Arabidopsis thaliana: one gene and its partners. The main gene of each other region encodes a partner of the protein of the gene in region 2 in a complex. Each region holds a gene or a part of one and is shown on either strand. Other genes may lie near its edges. The genes, in order: NRPB3, NRPB4 and NRPB2.

Region 1 (9,868 bases), on a different chromosome or scaffold from region 2:
TTATGTGTGTTAAAGTTATGATTCATAACTTATGAACAAGGTGATATCAAAATGGCCTTTTATCAAGGAAGTGCTACGGAGACCTCTAACTAAAGTAACGTATAAGTTTTGAGTATTATTATTGAGGGCATGGAAACGCGTGCAGATAAGAACCCAAGAACCTTCTTCAAGAATATACTGTTGGATCCGATGTCTCCGACGAGGCTCGTGGCTCAAGAACGGAGCTCAAGTCTTAAAGGTTAGTCTAGGTGCCACTAGCTTTCTTTATCACGTGCTGCACGTGAATAGTTTGCATATGTAACGAAGTAACGAACCAAAGAGAGAGGAGCTGAGAAAGTGAGTGAGAGAGATAGGTGTCGGTGACAGTGATAGTGGGGGTTCATTTTTTATGCCCTGTGCTCTTGAATGTAGTAGATGATAATTCGTCTACGTAAGATATGTATTATGGGCCTTCTATGGCCTACTAGGTTTCTTTCAAGTTGTAATGATTTGTTTCTTGGGTATGACACGAGTTGAACGATTTAGCGGTACATACATATGAGGAACAAACCTATAAGCTATAATCCCTATGATAAGTGCTTAACCATGATTGAACCATGGTCAAAGAGAAAAGAAGAATTGATAAGTGCGTTCCTTAGATTTAGGAGATCAAGCTCCACGTCTCCATATTCCCACTTTGTTAATTGTGTTCCTTGTTTCTAGGATTAGTTATCGTTCCCCTTTGCTTTCCTTTGTGTACTTAAAAGACTTCCAAGTCACGAGGAGGAATTAGACTTGAAATTTGACAAAACAGAGTTTATCTCTTTGGTGAAAATTTATTTTTAAATTATCATGCTATCACCCTAATATACACGATATATTATCTTCTTCTTTAAGAACATAACAACCAAAAGGGAATACTATAGAGAATTTGGGCCTCACAAATATTTAAGTGAAAGAAAAAATGTAGTTTCGTAAAGATAGAGTGTTTCAGTTTTGCGATGCCAAATTACCCTATTTTGTTGAGAGGCGTGTAGCAAACTGTTCCATTGCAGAGTCATCATTGAGATTTTGAAAACTTCTCGACATTGGTGTCGTTAACGCGACATTTTTTTCTCATGCTCCTCTCTTTTGCAATTTTGAACTTGAGAAAAAGCTATATAATAAGATGTCGATGAATTATAAATAGAGACTTATGTTACGAGATTGACACATTCACTTCTTGACATAAAAGAGAGTAAACACACAAACACGAGAAGTATAGGTAAAAGATGTTGCAAATGCATTACATAAAAGATATTGCAACAAAAATATATACACCCATTCCACAATTTTATTTTTGTTGATATCTGCACTTTGATCGGGGCTTTTATAATAGAGATAAGTTGGAAAGTAGACACTTTTTCTACAAATAATTTGCAAAATAGGTAGTTTTTTTAAACATATGAGAAATAGACACTTTTCTCTTTCCTCTCTAATACAACTTTTTGCCTAATAGAGATTTTAGTAAATGACTTATATAACCTTTTGTTATTTTGTTATGTAGTAAGATAAAGATAAAACTCAAATCAAATCTTACTTTTTATTTTTACTTTATTTGATGATATTTCTTCATAAAAATTTACCACATAATCATATTAGTTCTTAAAAATTTTATGTGAATCTAAAAAGTCTAATTTTGCTATATTTCAAAAATATGTAGCATTTTTTATTTAATCTCAGTCGACGGTGTACGTGATATTGTTAAAATTGGTGTACTAATGGTAGTATACAACAATAACGTAAAAATTAATATATAATTACTGATGTAGAAAATGATACACTGAATATAACAGTATACAAAATGATGTACATAGATGATGAAAATATGGTGTATATAATCTTACACCTTTAAAAATCTATGAGACAGTGTACTAACATTGGTGTACGAGATGATGTACACCACTAATTGAAATAATGATTTATACATTCTCTATAAGTGTACACCAAGTTTTGTACACTTTGTCTACCAATCTTGTATGTTATCATTTAAAAGTTGTATATATCATTCTATCCACCAATCGTCATAATAATTTCAATCATTTTGTACACCATTAAGAGTAACTTAATTATGTACACCATCATGTACACCATTATATTGAATAATAATATTTGGTTTATACAATCATTATGTTTGTAAAATATTAAAAACAATATTACTTATATTAATAAGTATAAGAGAAGTCGGTGATGATTTATGAAATATCGGTGTACACACTTGTACACCAACGAATAATGGTTAGTGTACAAAACGATGTTTTAAATGTTTGTGCATTATAATGATGATAGATAAATACTCTAAAAGTCAATGTAATTTTTTTTTAAAAAGAATATATATTTTTTAATATTTAAGAAAACTAAAATAAAAAAAAATAAAAAGATAAAGACAAACAAAATAAAGTAAAAATGGTTTCTCATATAATTTTTATTTACTCTCAAGATAAAGGGTATTTTAGTATTTGATATGTATTTTGTCTTTTAGTCTATTAGACAAATTCTCTATCTCACAAAAAACAAAAAAAGTGTCTATCTCTCTAATTTTAAAAAAAATTACCTACTTTACAAATTATTTTTGAAAAAGTGTCTACTTTGCCAATAAACCCTTTATAATATTGGGTACATTTTGGGCCATAAATTTTTAAAGAGCACATTATGATTAGGCTTATGAGGTTAGGCAGTTTTTGGCAAATGAAAAGACGATATTGCCCCTAAATTTTCACTCCATCTTCTCCGACGAACTCAACATCTTTATCACCATACAATTCCAATAAACCCAATAAAATCAGTTAAAAGCTTTTTGATGGGAGAAAGCTAAACCCTAAGGGGAAACTATATAGGGAACCCAAAGATTCTAATCTTATATAATTAGAATCAATTAAAAATTTCAATTGTTTCTTATTCCTCTTTTAAAATAAAGCGAGAGATGATGGAATTATGATTCAGATCCAGCAATTCAAATTCAAAGAAGCTATGGAGAATTACCACCTTCATCGTCGAGGAAGAAGATTGGCCAATCATAGTCCATAGATCTGAACTTTGTAAGGCGATGGAGAAGTAATGGACATCAATGGCGAGTTTAGAGGCAGTAGATTCTATGCCGAGAGAGAGAGAGAGAGAGAGAGAGAGAGAGAGAGAGAGAGAGAGAGAGAGAGAGAGAGAGAGAGAGAGAGAGGTACTACAAGGAGATGAAACTCAATTAAATTGAAGGGTAAAACAATCATCATATAACGTAGAAGTACCTAAATTTGTAAGTACAGTGAGATGTTCCTATATCCATAAAGGCGTACACTTTAATGTACCGATCTCGTAATTAATCCCACTTTTCTCTAAGAAACTATGGAAGGGAATAACTCGTTGCAAGTGATGAGTTTAATGTGATAGTTGGAACATCTTAATTGCATTGTTACCCTTCTTTATATTTTAAATCCCGAAAAAATATTGGTAATGGTTTTTTAAAAAAATTGTGCGGGTTTATTTAATCAAAGCATTTGAAACGGATTGTGTTAAAATGATAATTTTTTTGTTATTAAATCATAAAATTTAAAAAATTCTTCTAAAGTCTAGTGTTATAGAAAGAATGATTTTGGAAAGACTTTAGATGGTTTAATTTAGTAGATTTTCTTAGTGACATACAAAGATCTAAATCTCATTGTTTCATGTGGACTAGAAGGAGATTTCACACCATCACGAAACTTTTCTCAATTTGCCCAAAATTATCTAAAAGCTTCTTTATAACTCAAGTCATTTAAAAAATACATGATTAAATGGTTAAGAAGGCCAAAGAGTGACAAGAACCTCAAGTCGGAAAGTCGCAGATCAATCCTTCTTCTGGACTGGCAGGAAGGTTTGATCTTCTTCTCTTTCCGGAGTATGATATCAAATGTAAACTGATGCATCCTGGAGAATGATATCAAAGCAGCAAGTTTAGGTTGGACTAGTGCCGTGCTTAGACTAGTCTTGGTCTAGGACATGTTTTTAAAAATTGGCTATATGGTAATATTTCAAAAATAATACTCAAAATTCGAAACAAAATATTAGTAACAAAAACTAAGACCATGTACATAGGTGATACATTTAGAGTATCAAGAGCCATAAATAAGTTTTTAATAAATCAGACAAGACATTTAGGCCTAATACCGTATCAGTGTAATGATTCTTTTGATACCCAGTATCGGGTGATGTGGAGGCTCATGATTCGTCTGTGAAACTGGTTTTTTCTGGAAAAAAAAAATTCTATTATTCTCTCCGATAGTCTTTCTATTGTTTTAGCTAACTAGTTATATTTTCTGCGAGTGAGTAATTTTGCAGGCTCTTCGTGATTATGCGATATAATTTTGCAGTAATTTTATAATCCTAAGTTTTTATATATTTATTTTTTGATTTTCCAAATAATTTATTTTTTTAATGATACCAATATCGGTCTCACCATTGGAAACAAATTTATTACCAGTATCATAAAAAATCTCAAACAATAAATAAATATTAAAATTAATACTAAAAAATTGTTAATGATACTCATAGAGTATCAACTATGTGCATGCTTAATGTAAAAGAAAATCAAAATAAGTTTTTTCTTTGTTTTCATATGTTTTTCTAATAATATTATCTGTTTTTAATATTTGTTTTTTTTACTTATTATATATTACTAAAGAATATGTTTTCAAGATAAGAAAATCTCTTCTAGATAATGAAAAACGCATTTTTAATTAAAAAAATATTTATATCAAACTAACTAAATAGTGGGTTATTGTTGATATAGGTACTTTTTCTGAAAAATATTTGAAAATGGATACTTTCACGTTGTTTGTAAAAAAGGAACTTTTATATACGCAAATTGACTGTTTTGCCCTTATGTTTGACTTCTTCTCCTTGCTTCTTCTTCTTCATCGTTTTACTTCTTCTCTTTATTTTTTCCAGAAACTTCAAATCTTTTAATCATGTTGATGGTTTCCATTAAACAAGCTCTCATAGAAGAAATGTATACCATAAGAAGATAGTATCTATGGAACCCAAGGGCTCCAATCTTGAGCTCCGATAAAATTGAATTGAAGAGTGAGCGGGGAGAATTGTTGTTTACACGGAGGTCGTGTAAGAAAGAGACGGCGACAAAATTCACCGGCTCTCCAATGAATTTGAGCTGATTACGGAGAGAAAGCCAATCCAAGAAACGAATGCATATTAATCGGAGACGTGTATCTCTCCTATTGCGTTTGATTTAAAATTATTAATGGGATATGTTGTAGACGATGCTGCAATAGTGGAACAAGAAAAAAGAAACAAAATGAAATTTTTTTTTACAAAGTTGTAAAAAATGAAACTGTAAAACGACATTAGGTAAAAGTACCTCAATTTGTGAATACTGTGAAATTTTTCTATCTCCACAAAAGCACAAACTTTAATGTGCCGATCCCATAATTGATCCAACTAAATAGATATACTTACTTTCTTACGAAAATGTGGTGGCCTATAATTTTAAAAAATAAAATTGTGGCTGGACCTATTTGACCACTGGACTTTCGACTCACCACTCAGCAATGCGTGAAAATGTGGCATCCCCTCTCATGGCGTAAGGACTAGCGATACGAGCGGTCATCACTGCCACTTTGGAAGCAGAATTGAGAGATTTACTGATTGAATCTGATTGTTAATAATTAGTCCAAGTAATCAATGCCGGAATTCTCTTATCTAAGATCCATGACATCATTTCGGACCTATGAATTAGCTCGAAAACTTTTGAGTTTTTGTCTCTTGTTTCATTCCAAGGGAAGCTACTCACCATAACTTATTGTGTGATCGAAGTTCAAGAACTTAAGAGCTTTAAATTGGGTATCCACTATGCAAAAGTCTTTCATTCCATTTCAGTTAATGGTACGAATTTTAAGATTAAACTACATACTTGTTCCATTTTAATCATACTTGTTCAATGTATTGAATTTAATCCTTGCGTTTATTTTCGTTACGAGCGAGTCTAACAACTAACAACAACCAAACTTAACAAGATTCAGGAACAGAGGGATCAGAGGTCCAGAACAAATAGAAGACTGCCACTTCACATGTTATCAAACAAGACAGTGCCACTACGGTTAATATCAGTCTGCTCCAGAAGAAACTCAAAACCTGAAACAAACAGGTATAACAAAGAGCTCGAATTAATCACTTGAGTTCATCCTCCACGCATATGGGCACCGAGTTCACCAAACTGATCATCCGCTTCTACGGTGTCATCTGAGAGACGGACTGCATCAAGCTTCTGCTTCAGAAGATCAATGGCATTTAGTACCAGTTGGGAAGCCTTCACTGCACCTGTGGACTCAACAGTGAATATAAAACTGTCATCTTTCGGACTGATCTCAATGAGTCCCGGTTTCCCCATTGCTTCAGCTTTCTTGATCACTTCTTCATCGTAAGTGTATGCTTCAGGATCAACCACTACAACCTAAGAAGCAAAGTATAAAAATTACAGTTGTGATGATTCAAGCAACAGACTTCAAAAGAAATGGCATACTAAATTCCAACGATAAACTACTGTAACTGTTATAATGATATACAATGTTCTCTAGCGGGTCAAAGGAAAATTGTCAGTTGTGGTGAGTCCTAGTAAACACTGAACCATTAACATGAAATCTCCAAGAAAATTCAACTGGTACAGAGGTACTACAAGTACTATATCTTCTCCTTTCTTTATTCCCTTTACCATTCGAATAATTTGAAATCTCTAACATGAAATCACAAACAAAAGTTCAACTGGCACAGAGATACTCCAAGTGATTCATATAATTTGCAGTGATTAGATATAGAAAGATGTTTCAGTTTGGTACCAGAAGTTTAGCAGTTATTTGATTCATTCCGATGACTGGCGTAATTCTCCTAAAGAGCTAAGTAGTGCTATCTAACAGAAAGAGAAGCACAGAAAAGAGCAAATGCACTAACCACATCACATATATATATTTCAAGGCATGGCAGTCTATAAAGTAGTTCAATCATATTTAAGTCTCAAAGCTATAAACTTGTATAGCTGCATTCTTCCAAAACGTGAAAACTAACCTGTCTGGTGACTGGATCCATGCCAAACACTTTGGTAGGACTGCTCTCAATCAAGTCGATCTTTTCCTCGTCTGACAAAGTATCCATCATATCTTCATTAATAATTATGTCAGGCTCATACATAAACGTAACAGTAGCTGCAGGAGACCATTTCGCATGATCTTTCCCAATCCCTTTCCTCGCTATCGCTCTAAGCTTCAACTCTTGTCCCCGACGCAGTTTCACAATGATAATTCCCCTGAAACCCGAAACCAAAAACAGAGTCTTTAACCCACACAACCACCATAATTAAACATCAAACAATCACGAACAAGAAGAGTCATGCAAAGGGCCATCGAAAGGAAGTATTTTTCATCCTCGGAATGCTAAAAGATGCAAATTTTGTTTCACCATTGCTTAATCTCTAACGTTTCACAACTCCAATCGATTCATAATGACAAAAGAAACACCACATTTCTGCATTTAACAATCTAATGATGAAAAGGGACTTACTTGTGCTCGCTTGAATCAGATACAGACGAGTCAATAGTGAAATCCACAGGAGTAACAGTAGGATCAGCACTGTACAAATCCCTACTAGTAACATCTAGGGTTTGATCAGTAACACACTTAGAACTAAGCCGAAACTCAACAGAGCAAAACTCGCATTGTCCATCTCCATCACAAGCATCACAATCTCGAGAGAAACGCATGCTCATAGCACGTTCGCTAGTGAGAGGAATGAGACCTAATCGATGAGCAATGAACTCGTCGTTGAGTACAGATGAATTAACCTCGATTTCGACTAGATCTATTGCGACGGTAGGGACTTCGGAGATCATTACGCGACGGAGAGCGTTGGCCATAGAAACGTCGGTTTCACGAAGCTCGAACTTGGCGTAATCATCTTTAAGCTCACGGATCTTGATCTTTGGGAATCTTTGGTATGTGGCACCGTCCATTTCAAAAGCTAATCGGTGGTTTCTGACGACTCTCTGGACCTTTATTAGGGTTTTAGGGATAATGAATTTTCAATTTCTTCGCCGGAGAAGGAGATAGGAGAAGAAATCAGAATAAAGCAAAAGTGAGAAAGATATAAATATTAGAGTAATGTTTAAAGTTGGGCCTATATGGGCCTTTTTAATTCTTTTGGCGAAAAGTAATGTCACCAAATTTCAAACAGGCCCATATAAGCCCAACTCAAATGTTTTTTTTTATACCTTTTCCTTTTTCTTTTTTCTTTTTTTTTTTGTCAAACGTATACCTCTTTATTTAAGTTCTTTTTTCATAGATTCTTTTATCGTACTCAACAACTCTACGAGATCTCATAGTATTTAGTGATATTATAGTCATATATTTGGGAGGAAAACACCATGTATCAAAAAATTTGAAATGATCTCATAGTACCATTAACCATTACAACCCAACTAATTTTACTCATCAAACCAATTGACTCATCAACTCATTTGACCCATCAACTCATTTGAGTCAAAATTTTGAACTCATTAGAGTTCATGGGTTGAGTTGAATTGAGTTGACCCATAAATTTTGACCCATTTTGACACCCATAATCAAAATGTTAACAAGTTTAGTTAAGTTTCTTTAACAATATTAAGGACAAGATGTTAACAAATATTTTAACATGTGAGTGTTAAAGGATTTCATCATTCTTTAATCAACAAGCACTGCCTAATGCATTATTTAGATCATCACAAGGACCATCGTTATAAACTCTTACAATGCTTATCCCTTTGATTACTCTAAAGAAAATGGAGAAATGTGTAATTTGTCAAACATCCAATGGTAAGAATACATTAGACACCATTTATACATTTATCTAAACCAAAAATACTCAATTTTATTTTAAGCTACTAGACAAGAACATCCAAAGTTTATTATTATCTCTCACAAATGATTAATTTACTCTTTGTCTACGAAAATAGAATGCAAAAATTCCCATTTTATAAAAGAAGAAAATGGTTCGGCCAAAACAATACGACAAAAATAAAATAAAAAAAATTGGGTAATGTTTGTACAATTAAACAAGTTATATCATTTTTCCTACTTCCAAGAAAATGAGAGTGCAACTAATAATATGTGTCTGATTAATTTTCTTCATATGTATAGTGAAATCTATATAAAATTATATATATATACAAAAAAAAATTCATAGTTTACAAAGAAAGCAATAAAAACAATGTAAGTGTTTATTTATTATTTTAAAAATTGGGTATTGTTTAGGCTATGGTTAAAGGGTTAAGAATACAAATTAGGAGTATTTGAGTATTTGGTTAGTTAAAAACTCTTTTAGTTTTGAAGGAGATCATCGAGATACTGTGGCGAATTTGGGAAATCGAGGCATTGTATTTAGAAATTTTAGAACATCAAGATTTAGGGAATGCAAGATCTATGGAATTTGTAACACTTAGGCAAGATTTAAAAATCTAAGAATGTAGCAGATCTGGATTCTAGGGAGATCTAGGAGAAGGTTTGTGATAGAACTGATGCTTGGAAAATTCTAATTGAAGAAGACATTGTAGCAAAACTAAGATAGTTATTTATATATCTACAAATCTAATATATTTTGATGCTATATTTGCCAGATGTCGCACATGTACTTAAAGCATCAACCCAAAGTTGGCTTAATGCTGCTGAGTGGACAACGCTTTATGACAACAACCATTTACTGTTCCTTGAAACAAGCTCTTTCACTATACTTATTAAGGAAGACGGACTCTATACAGTTGACAACAACTTCATGCAGGACAGGAATACCTGGAGAGTAATAAGTACCCACTCCACTTGCAGAAATCCAAACGTTGTCTAC
Region 2 (9,341 bases):
TGCGTCTTCGATTTCGTCGGGAGTGAGACTTGAGAACATTAGTAAGAGCTATGAAGGCATTACGGTGCTAAAGGATGTGACTTGGGAAGTGAAGAAAGGAGAAAAAGTAGGGTTAATCGGCGTCAACGGTGCAGGGAAGACGACACAGCTCAGGATCATAACGGGTCAAGAAGAACCTGATTCAGGAAACGTGATTTGGGCCAAACCCAATTTGAAAGTTGCTTTCTTGAGTCAAGAGTTCGAGGTTTCAATGGGGAAGACAGTGAAGGAAGAGTTCATGTGTACGTTTAAGGAAGAGATGGAAATAGCGAGGAAGCTTGAGAACTTGCAGAAGGCGATTGAAGAAGCTGTTGATGATTTAGAACTAATGGGAAAGTTACTAGACGAATTCGATTTGTTGCAGAGACGAGCTCAAGAGGTTGATTTGGATTCTATCCATGCTAAAATCAGTAAGCTGATGTCGGAATTAGGGTTTGTGTCGGAGGATGCTGATAGGCTTGTGGCTTCTTTTAGCAGTGGATGGCAAATGAGAATGTCACTTGGGAAGATTTTGCTTCAGGTAGTAGTAATGAGAAATGTGATTCCTTTAACTCTGTATTGAGAGCTACGCTAATGTGTGATTCTGTGAACAGAATCCAGATTTACTGCTTTTGGATGAGCCAACGAATCATTTGGATCTTGATACTATTGAGTGGCTTGAAGGTTACTTGATTAAGCAAGATGTGCCTATGGTCATAATATCACATGACAGGGCGTTTCTTGATCAGTTGTGTACTAAAATTGTGGAAACCGAAATGGGAGTTTCGAGGACTTTCGATGGTAATTACTCTCAGTATGTAATTTCAAAGGCAGAGTTGGTTGAAGCTCAGTATGCTGCTTGGGAGAAGCAACAGAAAGAGATTGAAGCAACAAAGGATTTGATTAGTAGGCTAAGTGCTGGAGCAAATTCTGGTCGAGCTTCTTCAGCAGAAAAGGTATTAACTAGTACTTATGAAGCAGAGAATATGTATGAAACTTACTTGAATTTGTGTTTATATAAACAGAAACTGGAGAAGCTTCAGGAAGAGGAGCTAATAGAGAAGCCATTTCAGCGGAAACAAATGAAAATCCGGTTTCCGGAATGTGGATTAAGTGGAAGATCTGTAGTCACTGTTAAGAATCTTGTATTTGGTTTTGATGATAAGGTGAGATGATATAGTTAGTCAAATGCTGTTGGTAGTACATTTTATTGCTTGTGTTTTGATCTGTATTTCTGATGCAAGCAGATGTTATTTAACAAGGCGAATCTAGCTATAGAAAGAGGAGAGAAAGTCGCTATAATTGGTCCAAACGGGTGCGGAAAGAGTACATTGCTGAAACTTATTATGGGTTTGGAGAAGCCTATGAGAGGTGAGGTGATACTTGGGGAGCACAATGTATTGCCAAACTACTTCGAGCAGAATCAGGTTTGTTCTATCATGAAGAAATGGCTTTTTAGAGGAATCAGAAAATACAGTTTTACTCATTTGTTTGGCTGTAGGCAGAGGCTCAAGATTTGGATAAAACGGTGATTGAGACAGTTGTTGAAGCTGCTGTAGATTGGAGAATTGATGATATAAAAGCTCTTCTTGGTCGGTGCAACTTCAAAGCTGACATGTTGGATAGAAAGGTCTCTCTTTTGAGTGGTGGTGAGAAGGTAACATAATGTCTATCATTATCCTCAATATAATACTCATCATGTTCTTCATCGCCTTTTTTCTTGCGGTCTTAGGCACGCCTTGCTTTCTGCAAATTCATGGTGAAACCATCCACTCTACTTGTGTTGGACGAACCCACCAATCACTTAGACATACCTTCAAAAGAAATGCTTGAGGTCTCTAACCATACTCTTATCTGTTCAATAGGCCAAACTGTTCTTGGAGGTTGAGTATGATCTGATTCTCTGTTTCCTTCTTTCATCAGGAAGCTATAAATGAGTACAAAGGCACGGTCATCACAGTCTCACACGATAGATACTTCATTAAACAGATTGTTAACAGAGTTATTGAAGTCAGAGATGGTGGTTTAATGGACTATGCAGGAGACTACAATGTAATGAAATCTCTCTCAACCTAGTTTCCTCTTGTAAATAGACCTTTGCCAAATTTGTTCATTCTAGGTTGTGTTTTGAACTGTTTTGAACTGTTTCTCAGTATTTCCTGGAGAAGAATGTTGAAGCTAGAGCAAGGGAGCTGGAGAGGGAAGCAGAATTGGAAGAAAAAGCTCCAAAAGTGAAAGCAAAGTCAAAGATGTCAAAGGCTGAGAGAGAAGCACGGAAGAAGCAAAAGATGAAAGCGTTTCAAGCTTCCAAAAAGAAGTCAAAGTCCAGCAAAAATGCCAAGAGATGGAATTAAAGCTTCACAGTTCACACATAGCTGCTTTAGGTGTAGTATGTATATAGTGTCATCCCTTACTTGATTTAGTGAAAAAGAGATGGTATATTTCATTAAAAGCTTGGATCATCCGTTGTAAATTACATTCATTTAACATGAAGGTATCATTCCAGAAATTCTAGGCATTAAAGCTTTATAATTTCAGACGTGGCGAATTAACTCCAGATCAGCTAGAAGGCAAGTAAAGCATCCTGCTAAATGTTCAGAATCTTAGATCTTGAGAATCTTCTGCACTACTCGAATCTCTTGACAAGTGAGAGATCATTGAGCATCTTCTCAATAGCTTCATCATCATGAGCTCTTCCTTTTGTCTACACAAAAGAGAAGCTTACATCATCTCAAAAGTCCACTTACATAACAATACAATTTGTCCTTTTGAGGTTATCTTATTATCTCCACTGAATAGAAAAAGTAGAATCTTTATTTACCTTAAGAGAAGGAACCATTGCCACTGCTTCTTCAACAGTTTCAGGACAGAGATTGCCAAGAACACATAGCTGTTCAATAATGAACAATGCAATGTTTTAAGTCTTCTACCGAAACGACTTAATTGATAAACAAAAATCCAATCTCAAGAGATTTAACATTGTACCTCAAACTCAGTGAGTTGATGTCTGCTTAGTATTCTGCAAAAGTTGAGTTAAGGAATAGCATATTCTCACAAAACTATAGAATTAAACCAGTGACTGTAAAATCTCACTCATCAAGAAGGAAGCATGTCAAAGCAACGATTACTTAAAAACTTTGAATCAAACTAATTCAGAAAAAGGATACTCTCGAACTTGTCTAACAGCATCTGGATTCTTGTAGCGGCTGAATCGCTTCACATATTGCAAGGACTTCTCAAACACTCTGCAAGGAGCAAACATAACTTCTTCAACAATATTCAACATTGATTCACTAACCTAGAAGTAACATATAAAACTGACTAAATTCTTCAATTCATGATGGCTAATATACAATGAATCTCTATGAAACACAATTATACTTACTGAGAAACTTGATTCATAGGATCCTCTGAGATTTGCTGAAGCTGTTCAAACTTGTGCTCAAGAATCAAAGAGACTTCACAGTTCATTAAGCACTTTGCCTTCAAAAACTCTTTTGTCAAAGAGAATAAAACCCATCAATTTCGATGATAAATCTCAAATAATTAAGGGATTTTCGATACAGTTAAGCTCAATTAAATCGTATTGAATTAAGATCAATTCGATGAGGCAAAGAAACCCTAATTTTGAGGTACACAGCGGGGGATATGGCGAAGAGAATAGAGAAGTACCATCTCCGATCTTGAGTTCGGCGGCGTTCTCTTCTTCTTCTCCGGACATGGTGATTACCAAGGAGCGAAATCGAACCCTAAAGTTTTTTGGTTCTGCCTCTTTTTTTTTTTTTTCCGTCTTAACAACGAAAGTGATGAATATGAGACAAAACAAAAGCTTTGACCGGTTATATATAAAAAAAAAGAAGCAAACTCTATAATTAAAAAAGGAAAATCCAAGGAGGTTAATTAGATTTTTTTTGGGGAAGAGAGGTTAATTAGATAAATGTTACTATGTTAGTAATAGAGAAAAATTGAAATAAACCGAATAATAATCATCAAGTTTGAATAGGCAATGATTTTGATAAAGTTGGTATAAATTTTTGATTTAATAGCAAAAAAAGATCAAAATTGTTTACTACAATCATATATTCTGCAAGAAATTGAATATCATCATAACAGGATTAATTAGAAATATATTTATAATTGATGATAAATAGAGAAGAACAACAAAATTTATCATAATATAATTTGATTAAAAAAAACCCAAGTTATTTTATGATTTAACATAAATTGAGTAGTAACATAGAATTTGGAAAAATATTTGAAAAGCACAAACTGAATAACATGTGATATTAAGAACAAAACAAAATCTTCTAAAACCCACGACAAATTCTTTTCTTAATGGGTATACTACGCCTTTCTGCTTCTTCCCGACCAATCTTGCAACGAGGACAATCGCAATGCCCCTCTCGAATTTCACCTTCTTCAATCCCATCATCATTCTCTGCTTCACTCCTTGTTCTTTTTCTTGCGACTGTTTCCGGATTTTCGTTACCTTGCAGTTCTTGGATCTCTGTTTTCATAAGTGCGTTGAACATTTGAGAAAGAACCACGTCTCCTTGAAACAGATTTTGAAGAGACTTTATGAGTTCATCTCCTTGTATATGCCGGGACCTAAATTGTTTCATCAACCCCATGTATTCCTTGAGTTTCGCTTCACTTAGTCTTTCTTTGATGAACTCCGCTATATACAAAAACCAATGCTTACATACGGCTTCACTCTCAATCTTTGTTGTCTTCATCGTTTGGATACAACACTTTGTTTTTTTTCTTCTTCTTTGTCTTACAATTATGATTCGAGTGTATTTATAAGGAACTGAGTTGTTTACAATCCGATTTAGTTTGGGATTCTAAATTCTAACTGATCAAGCTTATACTTACCAACTTAAAAAAAAAAAAAAAAAAAACTTATCAAGTTTTTTTCACATGATTAAGATAATTATCACACGAATCATGTATTATTTAGAAAAAAAGAATACTTAGATTATGTTTGGAGTGTTGACAAATAAAAGAAGATAATGTTTGGAAGATTACAGGAAAATAATGTGAGATTTGATCTGTGTTTTACTTTCAGACGTTAATATCCATCCGCTTAGACCTGCCATTACCATTGCTGGTTTCCTCTACACTGGAAAGAGAGAATCTCGGAATAGCGTAATTGTAACGGTCAGGTGGTTGCTGCGGATAGAGTGTAGGAGACTGCATGAGATTGTGTTGCGGTAATGTGTTATATTTGTAAGCATCTCCTTCCCTTAGGCTGCAAAATTCAAAAGACCAAAACCCGATAAAGAAAAGAAATCCGATTTTTTTTAGGATGATAAATATATATACCTTGTTCTTTTATAGAACTGATCTTCATCACTTGTGCCCTCATCTAACCGCTGGGAAGGTGCATGGGAAAGAGACCATGCTGAAGAAGGCGACGGTAGTTCGTCTGAGAAATATCTTCTTCTTATCAACTGAAAACGAAAAACGTTCATTAGGTTGAAGAGAAAGAGAGAGAGGGAGAGAGCTATTGTAAAACATGGCAAGGTCAGAAATGACACCAACCATATGGAAAATTTTGGTCAGAGCTTCTTTGTCATATCTAGCTTCCTTGGCAGCCTGTGCATAATTTTACCAAAATTATATGACATACCGCATAACACTAAATTCAAATAAAGCAAGTAATTTAGTCTGTGGTTACCATTATGAGACCAACATTGCTAGGGAAGCTCTCAGAGAGAGGAAGTTCATCACTATGGGGAAGCAGACCCTGCTTCTCAACCCAATGACGAGCTGCATCAACAAGATTGCCACTGCTTCCATTTGTTCCTCCTTTGGCAGCAATATCAGCTTTGTTTCCAATAACGATGTATGGGACGGGAAGACCACCAGGCCCACCAGAAGAAAGGGGAGCTGAAAACTCCCCAGTTACTGAAACTTCACCCGCCCATTTCTGCAAATTAGTTTTTGTAGTCCTTTGCGAAAGATCATGAACAAAAATAACTCCTGCATAATCAAACAGTCGCATCAGTGACAAAACAGGGACAGAGATGACATTTGTTGAGACAGACCATTGATTTGTGAATAGAACAGTGAGCGGCAATCTTTGTATCGTTCATGACCTGAAACATCCCAAAGTTCGACGAAGAAATCTCTCTCTGAGTCACCTTTAATGATACTTGAAGAACTAGCAGGACTTGCGTAAGTTAAGTGCTGCACCAAAGAGAGTTCCAGAAACTAAGTAGGGAAACTTATCCCATGCTCTCTTTAACCATATCGAGAATTTTTTTTATAGAACAGCTTAAGTTACCTTGACACCAACTGTACATCCAATAGTTTGAGATGGGCGAACAATAGAGGAGCCTTTGACAATGAGATGCACAAGAGATGATTTTCCCACACCTAATTTGATATCCAGAGATAAAACTTTGCTCAATAGTGGAGAAGATGTAGTAGACTTACGAAACTTGACTCTTATTAGGTTCCACAAGTAGAAACTCATATCCAATCATCATGAGAAATCTTCTCATTAGCTCCTTCTTTAAGGATGAGTTTGTGCACTACGACAAACTTTCTTTAGTTCCATTAAATGGCTACTTAAAAAGCTAGAACCATTACCAAATCTATGGAAACGAGAATTTGTTAATATTACCTGAATCACCAACCACCAATACTCGAATTTGGCCGCATAATGGCGCTACCATATGTTCCTTATTTTCCCTGCCACGTTCCCTCCAAAACCGCATTTTGATTACTCCAGCAAAATCGGCACTGCGAAATTAAGTCCCATAGTCGCGTCTTCGACCAAAAGAGAAGCTTCCAGAAATCATCATTTCGAAACTCTGATTCCTAGCTGTAAGCAGATTATTCTAATCCATCACCTTGCACATTGCAAAACAGAGTCTCGGCTACAGTTCCTTCACCTTCCTAGTGCAAATAATCTCTAGAGCACAAATCGAAACCAATACCGAAGTTAACACAATTGATGGAGGTAAGCAGCGAATCTAAGGAATATGTAAGAGGATCAATATTCGAATTCTAAGAGCGTAATAAGAGTTTCACAGAAGTAAGATTCACCTTCTTCCTCCTTAACGTTCTTCTCCTCGATGAAAAAAATTCAGAAAAGATCTTTCCAGTAATCAAGGTAAACCATTGAATCTCGAGACAGGGAGTTCTCGATCGACATTATAGAATCTCTGGTTTCGCTACGAAAATTCGAAGATATCATGAGATTTGGGCGGAAGAACGAACGACGTGAGTTTGTTCAATCAATGGGATCGGTTCGATACTTCTGAACCAACACCATACCATATAACTAGACCGGTATTACATACCAAACCTGATTGACTCAAAACAATTAGTTAATGGCCCATTAGCAGCCCATGTAAAAAGATCCATCGGCCGAAGAATCTGAGATTTCTTGTTCAAGGGGTTGGGAACTCTGCGAATTATCTGTGCTCAGCTACTCCCAAAAGCTCTCTCATCTCTCTCGTCCGTCTCCTCTTTCTCCATAGTTTAAAGCTTCGTCGTTCCGTCACCAGAATTTCAACTACTTTGAGTTGATTCTCGTTGGATTTCTCACGATGGCGAGTCTTCAATTACTCAGATCTGATATTAAGTTTTTTTCTCGTTTTCGAAATTTTTGCATCTTCTCATTCCGTCATAGTTTGTATTTCAGGGAGACAGCGGGAAGCTTGAGGCAACGATAGATCGGCTTCTGAATGAAGAGAAGCAGATGAGACTCGCCGAAAACGTAGCCGGTACAAGGAAAGCCGCCACTGAGATTCTTCAGCTTTGTTTCGATGCTAAGGATTGGAAACTTCTGAATGAGCAGATTCTCAATCTCTCTAAGAAACGTGGTCAGCTCAAACAGGTACTTGGAATTTTGGTTATATCCTATCAGTGTTTGTGGTTTAAGCTCTTAAGGAACATGAACTTTTGGTTTGGGATAATTTGAAGGATTTGTTTAAGTTGGATATTTTGTTTGAGTTTTGAATGTGATTTGTTCCACATTTGACTTAGGAATTGCATAGGCCTAGTTTTTGGTAACCCTAATCTTGGAAAGAGATTAAGGACATTAGCACAAATTCAGGAGGATTCGACTTTGTGTTGGATACAAGCTTCTTTTTGTGGGATGTTGTCCTGTGATAGGTTGCTTTTACGATTCCTCTCTATGATTTTGATAGATTCACTGTTGACTCAAATATTAAAGCTAAATTGGGTCATTGCAGATAGTGATGTTTGTATTTAGTTCAGTTTATTACTTAACTTAGTTTGATTTTCAGTGTTTCGTTGGTTTTACTTTTGCTTTGCGTGTTTTCTTGGTCTAGTTACTTCAGACAGAATTAGCTTCACCTTTCCATGTACAAAATTATAGTTAAAAGTAAGGATACAAAGTGATAAGTCAACATCACTGATTTTTTTTTTGTGAACTTCTCCACTTGCAGGCTGTGCAATCCATGGTGCAGCAAGCAATGCAGTATATCGATCAGACACCAGACATTGAAACTCGGATAGAGCTTATCAAGACGCTGAACAATGTATCTGCTGGAAAGGTGCGAAACTATGAAACTGATGGTGTATTCTTTATAATAACTTCATCATTCTGTGTAATTGTTTACCATTGCATTTTACATGTATAGATATATGTTGAAATCGAGAGGGCACGTCTCACCAAGAAACTTGCTAAGATTAAGGAAGAACAGGGTCAGATAGCTGAAGCTGCAGATCTTATGCAAGAAGTTGCTGTAAGATTTTGTGCATTTGGCTATTAAATCTCCTGGAAATTTTCTTCCCTTGTTAACCCCTGCAATTTGATAAATAATTAACAGGTGGAGACATTTGGTGCTATGGCAAAAACTGAGAAAATTGCATTTATCCTTGAACAAGTAAGGACTTGTGTAGTTACGTTGCAATTAATAATTTGCTGGTGTTTTCTTTCATTGTGATAACTATCAAACTATTGTGGTCAAACTTTAAAGGTTCGCTTGTGCTTGGATCGTCAAGATTTTGTTCGTGCACAAATCTTATCTAGGAAGATCAATCCTAGAGTTTTTGACGCAGATACAAAAAAAGATAAGAAGAAACCTAAGGAAGGTGATAACATGGTAGAAGAGGCTCCTGCTGATATACCAACCCTTTTGGAGCTTAAGCGAATTTACTACGAGCTTATGATTCGGTACGGCCTTCTTGAGCTTCTCTATCACATTGTTCGTGATTTGTATTTCCATCATTTATCATGGCATTTTAAATTCTTATATGACTGTTTAATTATGGACCTCTCTCTCTGTCTCTTAAATTCTATCAATCTGTGTGGCTTTTGCTTGCTATGGTTTTCTCAGAGA
Region 3 (12,896 bases), on a different chromosome or scaffold from region 2:
TGGTGTTGCGTGCAGGATCTTGAATTTCTCGGATTCTTTGAGTAATGCTGTGGTTGATGATTGTTCCCTGAGGTTAAGTTTGAGATTTCCTGCTATCTTGTCGATTAAAAGCATGGCTCCAGTAGTTGGGGAGCTTTGGAGTGCCCAAGCAGAGAGTGATCCAAGCTATTTCAGAAGAATTGAGTTCTCGAGCCTAAACGATCAACTGTGGCGTTTCCCGAGTCTGAGATATGAGTATACAGAAAGCGAGAGAGTGGGTAAGTTATGCGGGGCTGGCAAGAGTCGCCCCAAAAGGAAAGGAAACCATTACCCTGATGCTCAAACTTCAGACATGAGATTTGTCATGTCAGTCAAATATTCTGGAGAAGGTAATGTCTTGAGAACTGCCCGTGCAAGTCCTTACTTTGTGGGAGACCGTTTGTATCGGGATCTTTTGGTTCGTGGGCAAGGGGTTGGGCTAACTGGAATCCCTATGAATGTCAACAGTGTCACTAAAAGCTTTACAAATATCACTTATAGAATCCGTTCTTTGAATCCAAATTCCGAATCTCGTGGAGATATCTACGCTGAGGGAACATATGATAGGGATACAGGTGAGCTATGCATGGTAGGATGTCAATCAGTTAGGCTAAAAAACACAGTGGCTATACAAAACGAGACTGTGGATTGCAGTCTTGCAATCAAGATTAACTTTTCTCCAATTGATTCGAGAAGCGATGACCGTTTAAAGGGAACCATCAAAAGCACACGGGAAAAGACAGATCCGCTTTATGTTGGACGTATGGAGGTTTTGTCGAGGTCCATCTATGTTCATCAAGCGAAAGAATCTGTTTGGAGAATGGATTTGGAGGTTGCTATGGTTTTAGTTTCCAATACACTTTCATGTCTCTTCTTGGGTATGCAACTCTACCATATGAAGCAACACCAGGAAGCACTTCCTTTCATCTCCGTTGCAATGCTGATACTTATTACATTAGGTCACATGATTCCTCTGCTGTTAAACTTTGAAGAACTCTTTAAAGGCAGCCATAACCAGCGAAACTTGTTCTTTGAGAACGACAGATGGCTCGAAGCCAAGGAAATTGTGGTGCGGATAGTGACACTGATAGCTTTCTTACTCGAGTGCCGTCTTCTCCAACTAGCTTGGACTGCTAGAAAAACCGGAGACCATCATCACCGTGAAGATGTGTGGAAAGCAGAGAAGAAGGTTTCTTATGTGTGTTTACCTCTCTACATCACCGGTGGATTGATTGCTTGGTTAGTGAACCGTAATAGAACTCCTAAAAGAATAGTATACATAGGAAAACCGCAAGCTCGGAATCTCTTATACCGTCCAGTGAACCTGAAACGCTCATTTCAACGTCCTCCTTTGTGGAAAGATCTAAAATCTTATGGAGGTTTGATGCTTGACGCATTCCTCCTTCCTCAAATACTCTTCAACGGTTTCAGCAACTCGGACTTGAAGCCTCTTGCTGCTTTGTTTTACGTTGGAAACAGCTTTGTTCGATTGCTTCCTCATGCTTATGATCTGTATAGAAGTCACAGCTACGGGAAGATTCTTGATTGGTCATTCATTTATGCAAACCACAAAATGGATTATTACTCTACGGCATGGGATATTATTATCCTCTGCATCGGTTTCCTCTTTGCGTTTCTGATTTTCTTGCAGCAGAGATTCGGTGGTCGTTGTTTCATTCCAAAGAGATTCAGAGAATATGTGGGATATGAGAAAGTTGTAGAGCTTCAACAAGCTGGTGAGCAACACAATACCAATGACTCTTGACAATACATATATAGACACACAGTTTTGTTGTCATACAATTCATTTATCTTGTTCTTAACTGTTTTAGGTTGTGTAATATCTACAGTTTTGTGGGAAAGCAAATTGTTATAGAGTGAATATAAACTTCAATAAAAATGGAACCAAATTGCCAAAGCTCTAACTTTGCCTTCTGCTGATTCAATATGATAGTACACTGCATTTGAAAAAAGAACAGAGGATTCTCTTGTAGACTGTTCTATAGATGCTATGAAAACAGAGTCTAGAGAGTGTTCTTAACAAAATAAAATTTTGGTACATTTGGTACTAATAAGTATTGCTGAAGGAAGACTCAACCGTTAAGAAATCACATTCCTAAATCCTTGTCTCAGAAGACATCTTTGGTATCATCACGTCAAGGAAGAATAAGAAACTTTTAGCATGGACTTCTTGTGCTGAGAATCACTGTGGTTTCTTCATCGATTTCAATTTTGTCATCTTTCATACGCTGCAACAGAGTATCAATGTTACGTCCGCCTTCTCTTATATCAGCCTTGACAAGAGCATGATACATCTGTTTGTTCACACCGATACAATTCCTAAGAGATGCAACAAAGCTTTCTACTTCTTTCAAACTTCCTTCATCCCCGACCCAACTCAAAACACTTGTAACCAGCGTCAATCCAGGTCTCCATTTTCTGCTACCCACTTCTACACCTAAGGCAGTTTTCATACACTTGAAAGCATTTTCTAAAGTACCCTTTTCCGCATAAGCAGTAGCCACAAGTTCCCAAGATTCTGGTGTAGTAGCTTTCCCTCTTCTTGCTAAATCTTCAAGCATCGCTTCTGCCTTCTCCTCCATACTTTTTCCAATGTAACCACGAATCACAGTGTTAGGCACTCGAAAATCATAACAGTTCCCCGATGATTTCCATTCCGTAAGTACTTCCTCAGCCTCAACTAAAGCATCAATCTTCACAAGCGACTGCAACACAGTAAGATAGTCCTGATTTATTCTCCTTTTACACACATCTTTCTCCAAATCCCATAACCTTAAAACCTCTATCTTCTTCCCTAACCTAGCATAAAGCGTAATGAGATGATTGTAACCTTCACCATCTTTCTTCTCCAATCTATTCTCCGACATCTTCAAAAGCTCAACCGCTCTATCACAATCACCACCATCAATATAAAACTTAGCCGCAACCGCATAAGTGTTCCAATCCATAGTAATATCCTGTCGTCTCTCCATATCTCTCAAGGTCCCACCAATCCTCTCAAGATCATACATAGCACCAAAAGCATTAATACATATCCTATAACTATAGTTATCCGGAGCAACATTCTCTTCCTTCATCTCCTCCAAAACCTTAGGAACTTTCTCGTGCTGACCAATATTCGTGTAAAGACACATAATGTTATTGTAAGTAAGAGACGAAGTAACAAAACCCATCTCCTTCATCTTCTCAAAATGCAACAGAGACTTCTCAACATTCTGTTGCCTAACGTAACAATTCAAAAGAGCTCCATAAGTCTTATCATTCTTATACTGTTCCTTAAGATTCTCAAAATACTCTTCTGCAGTGACAAATCCATAAACTCTACCAATAAGATCAAGATGAACCGCGTGTTCTGTCGGAGAGAACACACATACACCAGTCTCATTCATCCATTTCGAAACCTGAATTTGAAAAATTCTAAAGTTTAGTTTTTTTTCTCGGTGTAAAGAGGGAAAGAGACTTGATTTGTATAGAATTACTTACCTCGAGAGCGTGGAGGAAGCGTTTGCGTCTACGAAGATCGTGAACGATGCGAATAAGTTCAGCAACAGAGACTTTTTTACCGCATTGAACCCAGTTTTGGAGTTCTGGGTAAACACTTGATTTTGGGTCTCCTAAAGGACTGATTTTTGAGTAAAGTGTCGTCTTTTTTACTCTGTTAGTGTAGTAATATCTGCTCGCAATCAAATTCGCCGGAATTCGTCTCAGTATATTCATCGGTTCCGGCGAAGAAGATAGTCAAAGATTGAGACTTTACAAAAATGAAAAAATACAAATAAAGGTTGAAAGTTTATGATAATTGCATATTAAGCCTCAAAACTTTTATTATTATCTAATTTACACCTGAATCTTTCTATTGAACATTTTAACTCTCAAATAAAAGCTATGTTTTGAGGAAAAAAAAAAAAAAAAACTATGTTTTATCAAGCTTTTGGTACACGCATAAACTTGATATCAAGAGTCTGTGGACTTGGAGAAGCAGAGGTTTTCTTTGATAACATTCCCAAAGATTATTGCGGTCTTTTCTAGTCTTCTTAGCTGCTAATATCGTAAGCTGAGAAGCTTGTGGAAGCCATGAAGGAAGCGTGTGTTTCCATGGACACACGTTGTTACAATCGTATGATGAATATGTATAATCAGATGAATGTGCATGGAAAATTAGATGATCTGATGCTTGAAATGGAGAAGAATGGAGTCTCTTTTGACCAATTTACTCTTAGTATTCGTCTCAGTGCATATGCTGCAGCTACTAATATTGAAGGAATAGAGAAAACCATAGAAAAGATATCATTAATGTTTGAAACAGCTATTGAATGGATTTCGCAATGTTGAGCTCATCGATAAGGCACAATGATGATGAAAGCAGAAGGAAACAAAGTGAATCCCCATACGGATGCCCCATGAGAATAATTAGGAGCAGCAAATTTACTAAAGAATCCATAAATATATCTTATAAGGTACCTTTCTAGCTTTAAGAATTAGTACAGAAATATTACACAAATTTGTAAATTTAGTATTGTTACAAAGCTATGACCAAGAGAGAAGGAAAGTTCAAGTTTCTACAAAATCAGATTGCAAGCTCCTCACTGTCTGCCTTTAGCCGATTTCAGGTGTTTAGTGAGCATCCTTGGTGCAATAGCCATTGACATAAGCTCTTGAAAGAGTAATTTGCAAGCATATGGAATGTATACCTGAGAATATTTAGATGAAATGACATCAGACAAATGAGCATGAAAGAGATAAAGATGAATATGAACCACTTGCACAACAGTTTATGTTTACCTGAACAATATCTGTTTTGTTCTTGCAACCTCTGCATTCAAAAGAATTCTTCTTCAGATTTGCAATGGCAATGAGCCCGCAGACTTCACACACATGTACCCTATACGCATCACTCTGATCAAACAGCCTCTCTTTCAAAAAGTGAGCAGCACCATGTGCAATCATGCAATCGCGCTCCATTTCTCCAAAACGGAGACCACCATCACGTGATCGCCCTTCAGCTGGTTGTCTTGTTAAGATTTGCACCGGACCTCGTCCACGCGAGTGAATCTTGTCATCAACCATATGCTTCAATCTTTGGTAATATGTTGGTCCAAGGAATATCATAGCTGTGAGTGGTCTGCCCGTGTGACCATTGTACATTCTCTCAAATCCACGCATTTGGTACCCACACTTATGAAGGGCTTTGCTTATATTATCCACCTAACGACACAACATTGGTCAAAACTAATAATACCAAGCCCAATGCTAACTAAGCAGCTAAGGAAAATGCAAGTTACCGTGACATCTGTAAAGGGAGTAGCATCTCCTTCTTTTCCCATGTGAGCTGCCACTTTTCCCATGATGCACTCAATTAGCTGTCCAATTGTCATTCGAGACGGAATAGCATGTGGATTCACAATAATGTCCGGAGTGACCCCTTCAATCGTCCATGGCATATCCTCCTGCGTGTAGGTCATGCCAACAGTTCCCTTCTGACCGTGTCTACTACTAAATTTGTCTCCAATTTGAGGAATCCGCACGGATCTGACCCTCACTTTCACAAACCTCAAACCATCTGCATTTGTAGTCAATAACACCTACACGAAGTTACAAGAATTGATCAGTTTCATATTTCAATCCTGAAACTTTCTAAACCCTTAACTGCAAGGAAAAGCCAAAGTTACCTGATCCACCATTCCAGTTTCACTATGTCGCAAGCTTATACTATGATCACGTCTAGTGTATCGGGATGATTGTCCTTGAGCCTCATCTTGAGATATTGGAGTGGTTTTCCCAATGATAACATCTTCACCTGAAACTCTAGTACCCTATACCAAAAATAAAAGATTGTATGATATGCTTTCTAACATTAGTCACCTAATCATATCAGATAATAAATAATTAAGGAACAATAAATTATAAACTTACAGGAGGCGCAAGACCATCATCATCCAGTTTATCATAAGAACCATGTCGCATACCCTGCAGCAGAAACCCAAGTGTTAAACTTCACTTACAAAAAGCACCACTGAAGTATGAACCATGTGTCAATTACTTTCTTACCATTGTACTTCCTCTGTCTGGGCGCCCAAAGTCTTCTTTGACAAGCGTCCCCATTTTTTTCTCCTCATCTCTGTCAGCAAACGTGATTGCAGTATAAATAAATGGAAAGACCGAAGGCAAACGTCCAAAAGTATAGCATACTCACCTGTAAGACCGAAAGAACAAGGATCGAAAGAAACCACGATCTATTGAAGACTGATTCATGATGACAGAATCTTCTTGATTATATCCAGAATAGCAAGAAATGGCAACAATAGCATTCTGCACAAGAAGAAGAAAAAAAAACATTTGAGAGATTTGATACACGAGCAATGCTGAATTCTGAAAAACTTCTAGCAAAAATAACTTACAATTCCTGCTGGAAGTTGTCTAAAGTGAAGATGCTCCATAGCTCTTGTAGTAACCAAAGGCTTTTGTGGATAATAGAGAACATAAGCTAACGTATCCTGGTTGACAGAACAATAATAATTTCTTTAAAATATTGAGTGATGTAACAAGAGCTGACAAGAAAGACCACAAATTAAGAGCCTAGAACATACCATGCGAAATTGGTAGTTGGTGACATAAATTCCCATTGCTTGCTTCCCCATGGCAGATTGATATGTATTACGAGGTGACTAATACATCAAAAAGTAAAGGGTTAGTTAGCATGAAACTGAATTTACATAATGAAATCGCTTCTGATAGAAAAGTCATTTAGACAGAGGTACCTGATTATGGTCAGGAAATGGTATGATTGAAGCACAGACCCCCAATATCAGAGATGGGTGAATCTCACAATGTGTGTAGTTTTCAGTATAAGCCTCTTCTGGGCGGAGTCTAGCTTGAACCAGATCCTACAACAAACATAAGAGTAAGATTTCTGCAGAAATTAGTGCACCACAAACTCATTTAATCACATCTTCATTTCATTACTCACACTGATAGTCATGGAAATCATGGTCGTTTCCTCTTCTTCTGTGTCTATGTATTCTATAAAGCCCTTAGCAACCAGATGATGCCAACCATCTTCTTCTGCACTTTCCTGGGTTATGAAAACAAATATTGGTACAATGGAATTTATAACAAAAGATACTTTGATAACAGGTAAAAATTAGAATTTTACCCTTTGTTGCAGAGCATAGATATCTCTCTTCTTTATTAAGAGCTTCTGATTATCTACAATAAACAACGGACGGCTACAACGTCCATAATCAGTGTATATCCGGAGCTCTTTAAGACGGATATCTCTAACTACACCAACTTCAGTGTTGACATCAACCTGCAAGAGGAAAAAGTAATATGTCACTTCTGCATAAAGTTGCAATATTTTCACTAGCATATATGGAAACGTGAAAGAAACTGCATGCTTACCCTTCGTCTCAAACGTCTCAACGTTTTCACCAACATGTCAGGATCTCTATGAACTCCAACCCACATTCCATTGACAAAGATTTTTGTGGCTTGGGGTATAACAGATGGAGATATTTCCTATATTCAAGTTAAGACCTTCAGGAAACCACAAGAACCAAGGAGGCAGATGTTGGGTAAGAAATTGAATGTGAAATGCTACAGACCTCAAAATTCTCAGTACCCCATTCTTCCAAAAATTCCAATATAGGATAAGCAGCTGACCCAACTGTTATGTAGACCATGAGAGCCAAGTTTTTCACTAGACCACAAGCCTGGTACAGCAAAGCCACAATGAGCAATGGAACTATAAAATCCGAAACACCCTTATTTTATAAATATAACAATTTTACCTGTCCTTCAGGTGTTTCAGCAGGGCACATCATTCCCCACTGTGAGTTGTGCAGTTGTCTTGGTTTTGCCAATTTTCCTGGCATATCAGACTTGATTAGATTCAAGTGGGATAAACAAAAGTACAAGCCAATCTAAATTGCAAGGATGTGGATAATAAAGAGAACCATGACTAAAATACACCAACTGTACGAACAGTTACACAGAGACAAAATAGAAGTGCAGGAAAAGAACGAGGCTTTACCTTCACGTCCTATTGGAGAATTGAGACGCCTCAGATGTGACAAAGTCGAAGCATATGTCAACCGGTTAAGAACCTGTTGTTAGTTAAGTCTTTAGAGCCATATAAATCATGCAATGAATTATAATAGGCCAAAACAGTAAACCCGATAACATACATCAAGAAATTATTGGAACTCAAAAACATAATTAACATAGAATTATCCTAACCTGAGAGACTCCAGCTCTTGTGCCAGCAGCGTTTGCCTGGCCCCAGTTCCCAGTAGCAAGAGAATATTTCAGGCCAGAGGTAATTGTTTTAGCCTTAATGGCAAATTGAAGATTGACTTCTTTGCCATTGTCAACGCACTGTCAAAGAAACATGAATCAGACTTCCAAACACAGAATAACAACTTAATACTAAAGTCTTTGGCTCGAGAAAGAGTAACTATGTAAGATACCTTTTGAACATAAGATCTCACATCCCTTGTTAACTTTCGGAAAAGCTGCATGTAGAGAAGATGTTAGGTCAGTAAGAGATAAAAAAAACACTGATACTCAACAATCCCCAAGAGTGTATAATTGTGTGCCGGGAACAAACCATTCTAAATAGCCCTCCAAGTAAAGGACCAGCAAGATCCAGCCTTTTGTTACCATAATGATCCCTATCATCTTCTGGCCTTCGGCCAAGTGCACAAAGCAGCAGCCGGTGTATGATATACCTACGGATCATAGCATAATATGAGCAACACAGAAACATGTTAAGTCTATAAACATTACAAGTGAGTTAAATACCTACCCAAAATAGTAAGCTTTCTTTGTCTCGCAATGCTCCCCAATTCCTACATGAGGAAGCATTTCTTTCTGAAGGATATCTCTAGCATACCTGCAATGATAATATTGCAATCGCAAACCTCCAGTGTGAACATCTCAATAGTTGACATCTTAGATCATAATGTCCAACTTAATTGGTTTAGATTATCACATACTTTATCCTTTTTTCCTTGGTTACACCAACAGTTGCACCACGTTTTCCAATATAGTCAAGTGCAACCTGAAGTAATATGAAAGTTATCAAGTGATTGCAAGATCAATTCCTCAAGCATAATAAAATGTCATTAACCAAGTGAAAAAAAAGTGGATACCAGCTGATTTTGAATAACGAAAGCTTCTTCCAAGGAAGGCCTGAGCAACTCCATCATCTGGGTATCGGCAAAATCATAGCAGATGTGTTCCAATATGTCCTTATCGGCAACAAATCCCAGTGCACGAAATACTATGATAATAGGAATTTCTGTTCTGATGTATGGAAGAGTACATCGAATATACTGTCCAGATGAACCCTGCATCCATTTGCAACATAGAATGTAATTTATTTACCATTATCTAGAATTTAAAGAATAAATTTCGAGGAAGGATATAGTAGAGTTAAGACTAATTAGCTTTCTCTTACCCCTTTTGCACTAGCACGAGCAAGCATACGCACAAACATTGTGCTTGGAGGCCTATTTTGGTTTTCAGCCATAGAACGGACTTCACCAACATAAGCATACTTATTTGGCTGCCTTTTCTTGAACACATAAACATGATTCGTACTCATCTTCTCCTGAGCAATCAGAACCTTTTCACTGCCATTAATAATGAAGTATCCACCCTGATCATAAGGACATTCTCCAAGCTCTGTCAGGTCTTTCTCCGAGTTCTGAAACAAGGTACAGTAACTAGACCGGAGCATGATGGGAACCTAGCAAATAATCAAACAAGAAGAAAACATTTCTACTATCAGAACAGTAGAGTACATGGAAACACCTAAATAAATGTGACACAATGAACTGAGTTCGGACACCTTTCCAATGAAAACTTTAGTAAAATCCTGTGTCTCCGTAACTTCTTCACCATCATGCCCTTTCTTAATAACTCTCTTAGTAACATCGACATACAAAGGCGCAGAGTATGTGAGATTTCTCAACCTTGCAGCCTTAGGGAACAGGGTGGCAGTCTCTCCATCAGACTCTGTCATCATAGGTTTACTCAGATAAATCTGTCCAAAGCTAATCTTGTAGATTGTCTGCAGGAAAACAGCTATATCAGACATACAGAAAAACAGATAGCAAAACAGCTATATCTCAGCTCACACAAAGTCAAAAATGATTTGAGCTTCAACCGATAATAAAGACCACTGAAAGGACACTTTGAAAAAAGCGAAGAGCTCAAGCATTAAATGGAAAGATAATCTCGGAAAATCAATGAGCTTAGCTACTCGACAAAGGCAGACCCTAATTGCAACAAAACTTAAAAACTGATTTAAGCTTTAACCAATATTCAAAACCACTGAAAATACACCTCAAAAAAGCGAAGAGCTCAAGCATCGAATACAAAGATAATCATGGGAAATCATTGAGATAAGCTTCTCAGATAAGGGCTAACAATAGACTGTCTGCAGGAAAACAGACCAAAGGGACAGCAAAAAAAGATACCAAACTCATTTTTATAGTGCCAAAACTGATTTGAGTTTCAACCAATACTATAAATCCTCCTCGAAAGAGATGAGCTCAAGCATTAACTCAAAGATAATCTCGGGACATTAATAAGATTACCAGCTCAAAGTCAATATCCGGACATCAATAGTCAAAATCATTTTTTGACTCTTGAACAGCATATAGCTCAAGCATTGAATAACAAGACAATCTCGGGACATCAATAAGATTCAGGTAAACCCTAATCGCACCCAAACGGTAGAAGCTCAAATCGAAACACTTTAAAACCGCCACAAACACGATAAACCCGCACATAATTTCGAATTCCCATAGAAACCCTAGAAAAAAACAAAAACGAGGAAACAACCTCCGCAAAATCGGACTGATGGCCAGGATTATGCTGAGATTCAGGTCGGATCTCGATATCAGCAGACTCATCAACGATTTCTTGCATAGTATTTTGAATAAACTCATCAAACGAATCCAGCTGTTGACGAACGAGACCTTTCTCTTCGAAATAAGCAGATATAACAGCCCACGCGTCCTCCTGGGTAATCTCCTCATCGTCATCGTCTTCTACATATTGAGGTTCAGGTTCGTATTCGTTGTACTCCATTTATTCTCACTCTCTGAAGATTAGAGCACAGCAAACTTCACTACTCGAGCTCTCGGAGACAAAGAGAGAGACAGGACGCAGAGAATGAGACGGCTTTGTGAGATTGTGAGTTTATAAAGGCTCGAGAGAGAGAAGTCGGCTTAAGTTTATGGAAATAACCGGTTTGTATCAATAACCGGTTTGATTAAATGGGATTATAAAAAGGATCGGTTTGGTTGTTAGAGAGCTTGGATTGTTAAATGACGGAAACACCCTTACTATATAAAGAAAAGTCTCCGGCTACATTTTTGTGGCGTCAGCGATATTTTCGGAAGAAGAGAGAGAGAGACGGAGAGTGAAGGCGGAGGAAGGGAGAGAGAGATGATACCGCAGCAATGGACGCCGCCGTGTGGGAGCAAATGCACGAATAAGTACTCAGCATTTACGCAGCTTCCATGTATGTAATATCTGGACTCTTAATTTGTGTGAATCGGATTCGTTTTTGAGTTTTGATGTTCGTGGTCCGTTGTTTTTTGATGGTTTAGTTTTCGATGATGATGATAAGAATCTGTTGTTGGAGCTGATAGATTGGGTTCTGATTTGGATTGGTGATTGATTTCTTGATTCAAAAGTCAATTTAGTCTTCCGAGTGTTTCTTCTTTTTGTTGTTGTTTGGAATTGAAATTGGGATCTGTAAATTGGATTGTTGATTGATTTCTTGATTCATAAACCCTAATTATTTGTTGGTGCACTCTACTTCATTACGATTATACTAAACATTTTGGTCAAGAATCGCTTCTTTGGTTAGATTGGTCCAGAGACAACTTATAGTTGTAGTTGCAAGTATTTAAGAACATCCATCTTGACTCGTAATTGAATAATGTAGATTGAAGAATCGGCAACATTTATATTGATTACAAGTAAGGGAGATTATGCAGAGTTCTTAGAGCTTTTCTATCATGTAATTAAGAAAATGGTTAAATTAGTAGGAGAAAGTGGAAGATAATAAGTTGTAGTTTATGAACTGAAAGAAATTTAAAGGGAGAGAGTCAAAGTAACGGTATCAAAGATGCTTCTGTATCCATGTTGCTTCTATGAACTATTGACATATATGTATGCTTAAGCTAGTTAAAGGGCTTGGTTTGGCTGTTTCTGTCTTTCTGATGAAAGCTTTTCATTCTCTGATCTCTGAATTTCATTCATGGGCACAAAAGCTAGCTGAACTTATGCTTGGTATGACATTTTTTCCATAGCAATCTGGGTTTTTTTTCAGCTTTAGCATCAGTGTTTATCCTCCATGTTGTTGTATGACATTTTTTCCATAGCACTAATGTAATTCCTGAATCTGTGTAGGGAGAGTATTCTGCAAAAAGGGATGTGATGCCGATAGTGACTCATGGGAAGATTGTAAGCATTTCTTTTTAATTCTTTGTAATCTGTAACGAAACTGTTGATGAAATGATGAGCGGTTAGATTTGTCCTCACTATGGAACATCATAAAAACCAAGCTTGTCTCCTACATAACGAAATTACATGTTCATGAAGAGTATCTTCTGCTTTTCAGGTTTAAGTTTCCAAGTTAATGAATTGGTGTAATAGTAGTGTACTCTCTATAGGTGTAGGAGACTGCAGTGAAATTTGCTACAAAGATCCTGTGCTAAAAGACAGACCATGGACTGCTGTTATAGATCGTTCTCCTGGAGATGCCAAATACTCTGAGGTAATTCACACAATGAATCTTTTTCTTCAAAAAAGAGAAATGGACTGAACCGTATCTA

Evidence for each region.
Region 1: NRPB4 (region 2) and NRPB3 share a complex: the UniProt entries of both Arabidopsis thaliana proteins name them as parts of the RNA polymerase II complex.
Region 3: NRPB4 (region 2) and NRPB2 share a complex: the UniProt entries of both Arabidopsis thaliana proteins name them as parts of the RNA polymerase II complex.

The regions. Positions count from the first base shown.
Region 1 is NC_003071.7:6,731,796-6,741,663, reverse strand, and holds NRPB3 (DNA-directed RNA polymerase family protein), read right to left. Parts: upstream 8,131-9,868; 5' UTR 8,004-8,130; coding exon 7,555-8,003; intron 7,301-7,554; coding exon 7,063-7,300; coding exon of another isoform or gene 7,018-7,062; exon of another isoform or gene 6,908-7,017; coding exon of another isoform or gene 6,860-6,907; exon of another isoform or gene 6,455-6,859; coding exon 6,182-6,454; 3' UTR 5,845-6,181; downstream 1-5,844. UniProt on the Arabidopsis thaliana protein: DNA-dependent RNA polymerase catalyzes the transcription of DNA into RNA using the four ribonucleoside triphosphates as substrates. Component of RNA polymerase II which synthesizes mRNA precursors and many functional non-coding RNAs.
Region 2 is NC_003076.8:3,090,674-3,100,014, reverse strand, and holds NRPB4 (RNA polymerase II, Rpb4, core protein), read right to left. Parts: upstream 3,833-9,341; 5' UTR 3,740-3,832; coding exon 3,691-3,739; intron 3,513-3,690; coding exon 3,404-3,512; intron 3,264-3,403; coding exon 3,186-3,263; intron 3,038-3,185; coding exon 3,004-3,037; intron 2,909-3,003; coding exon 2,840-2,908; intron 2,723-2,839; coding exon 2,645-2,722; 3' UTR 2,373-2,644; downstream 1-2,372. Other genes in the region: ABCF2 (ABC transporter family protein), read left to right, coding at 1-559, 633-974, 1,044-1,184, 1,266-1,445, 1,520-1,675, 1,751-1,852, 1,942-2,070, 2,172-2,372; AT5G09910 (Ras-related small GTP-binding family protein), read right to left, coding at 5,083-5,269, 5,344-5,471, 5,563-5,616, 5,699-6,003, 6,069-6,210, 6,308-6,399, 6,650-6,743; EMB2107 (26S proteasome regulatory subunit, putative (RPN5)), read left to right, coding at 7,581-7,583, 7,676-7,870, 8,445-8,552, 8,640-8,744, 8,829-8,885, 8,979-9,175. UniProt on the Arabidopsis thaliana protein: DNA-dependent RNA polymerase catalyzes the transcription of DNA into RNA using the four ribonucleoside triphosphates as substrates. Second largest component of RNA polymerase II which synthesizes mRNA precursors and many functional non-coding RNAs.
Region 3 is NC_003075.7:11,531,062-11,543,957, forward strand, and holds NRPB2 (DNA-directed RNA polymerase family protein), read right to left. Parts: upstream 11,345-12,896; 5' UTR 11,140-11,344; coding exon 10,891-11,139; intron 10,115-10,890; coding exon 9,893-10,114; intron 9,791-9,892; coding exon 9,500-9,790; intron 9,390-9,499; coding exon 9,192-9,389; intron 9,101-9,191; coding exon 9,036-9,100; intron 8,933-9,035; coding exon 8,846-8,932; intron 8,769-8,845; coding exon 8,648-8,768; intron 8,553-8,647; coding exon 8,508-8,552; intron 8,416-8,507; coding exon 8,278-8,415; intron 8,145-8,277; coding exon 8,072-8,144; intron 7,907-8,071; coding exon 7,830-7,906; intron 7,752-7,829; coding exon 7,644-7,751; intron 7,558-7,643; coding exon 7,441-7,557; intron 7,349-7,440; coding exon 7,193-7,348; intron 7,112-7,192; coding exon 7,007-7,111; intron 6,924-7,006; coding exon 6,798-6,923; intron 6,705-6,797; coding exon 6,627-6,704; intron 6,534-6,626; coding exon 6,438-6,533; intron 6,349-6,437; coding exon 6,233-6,348; intron 6,158-6,232; and 13 more. Other genes in the region: AT4G21700 (DUF2921 family protein, putative (DUF2921)), read left to right, coding at 1-1,783; AT4G21705 (Tetratricopeptide repeat (TPR)-like superfamily protein), read right to left, coding at 2,196-3,440, 3,523-3,756; AT4G21720 (defensin-like protein), read left to right, coding at 11,500-11,575, 12,472-12,525, 12,735-12,838. UniProt on the Arabidopsis thaliana protein: DNA-dependent RNA polymerase catalyzes the transcription of DNA into RNA using the four ribonucleoside triphosphates as substrates. Second largest component of RNA polymerase II which synthesizes mRNA precursors and many functional non-coding RNAs.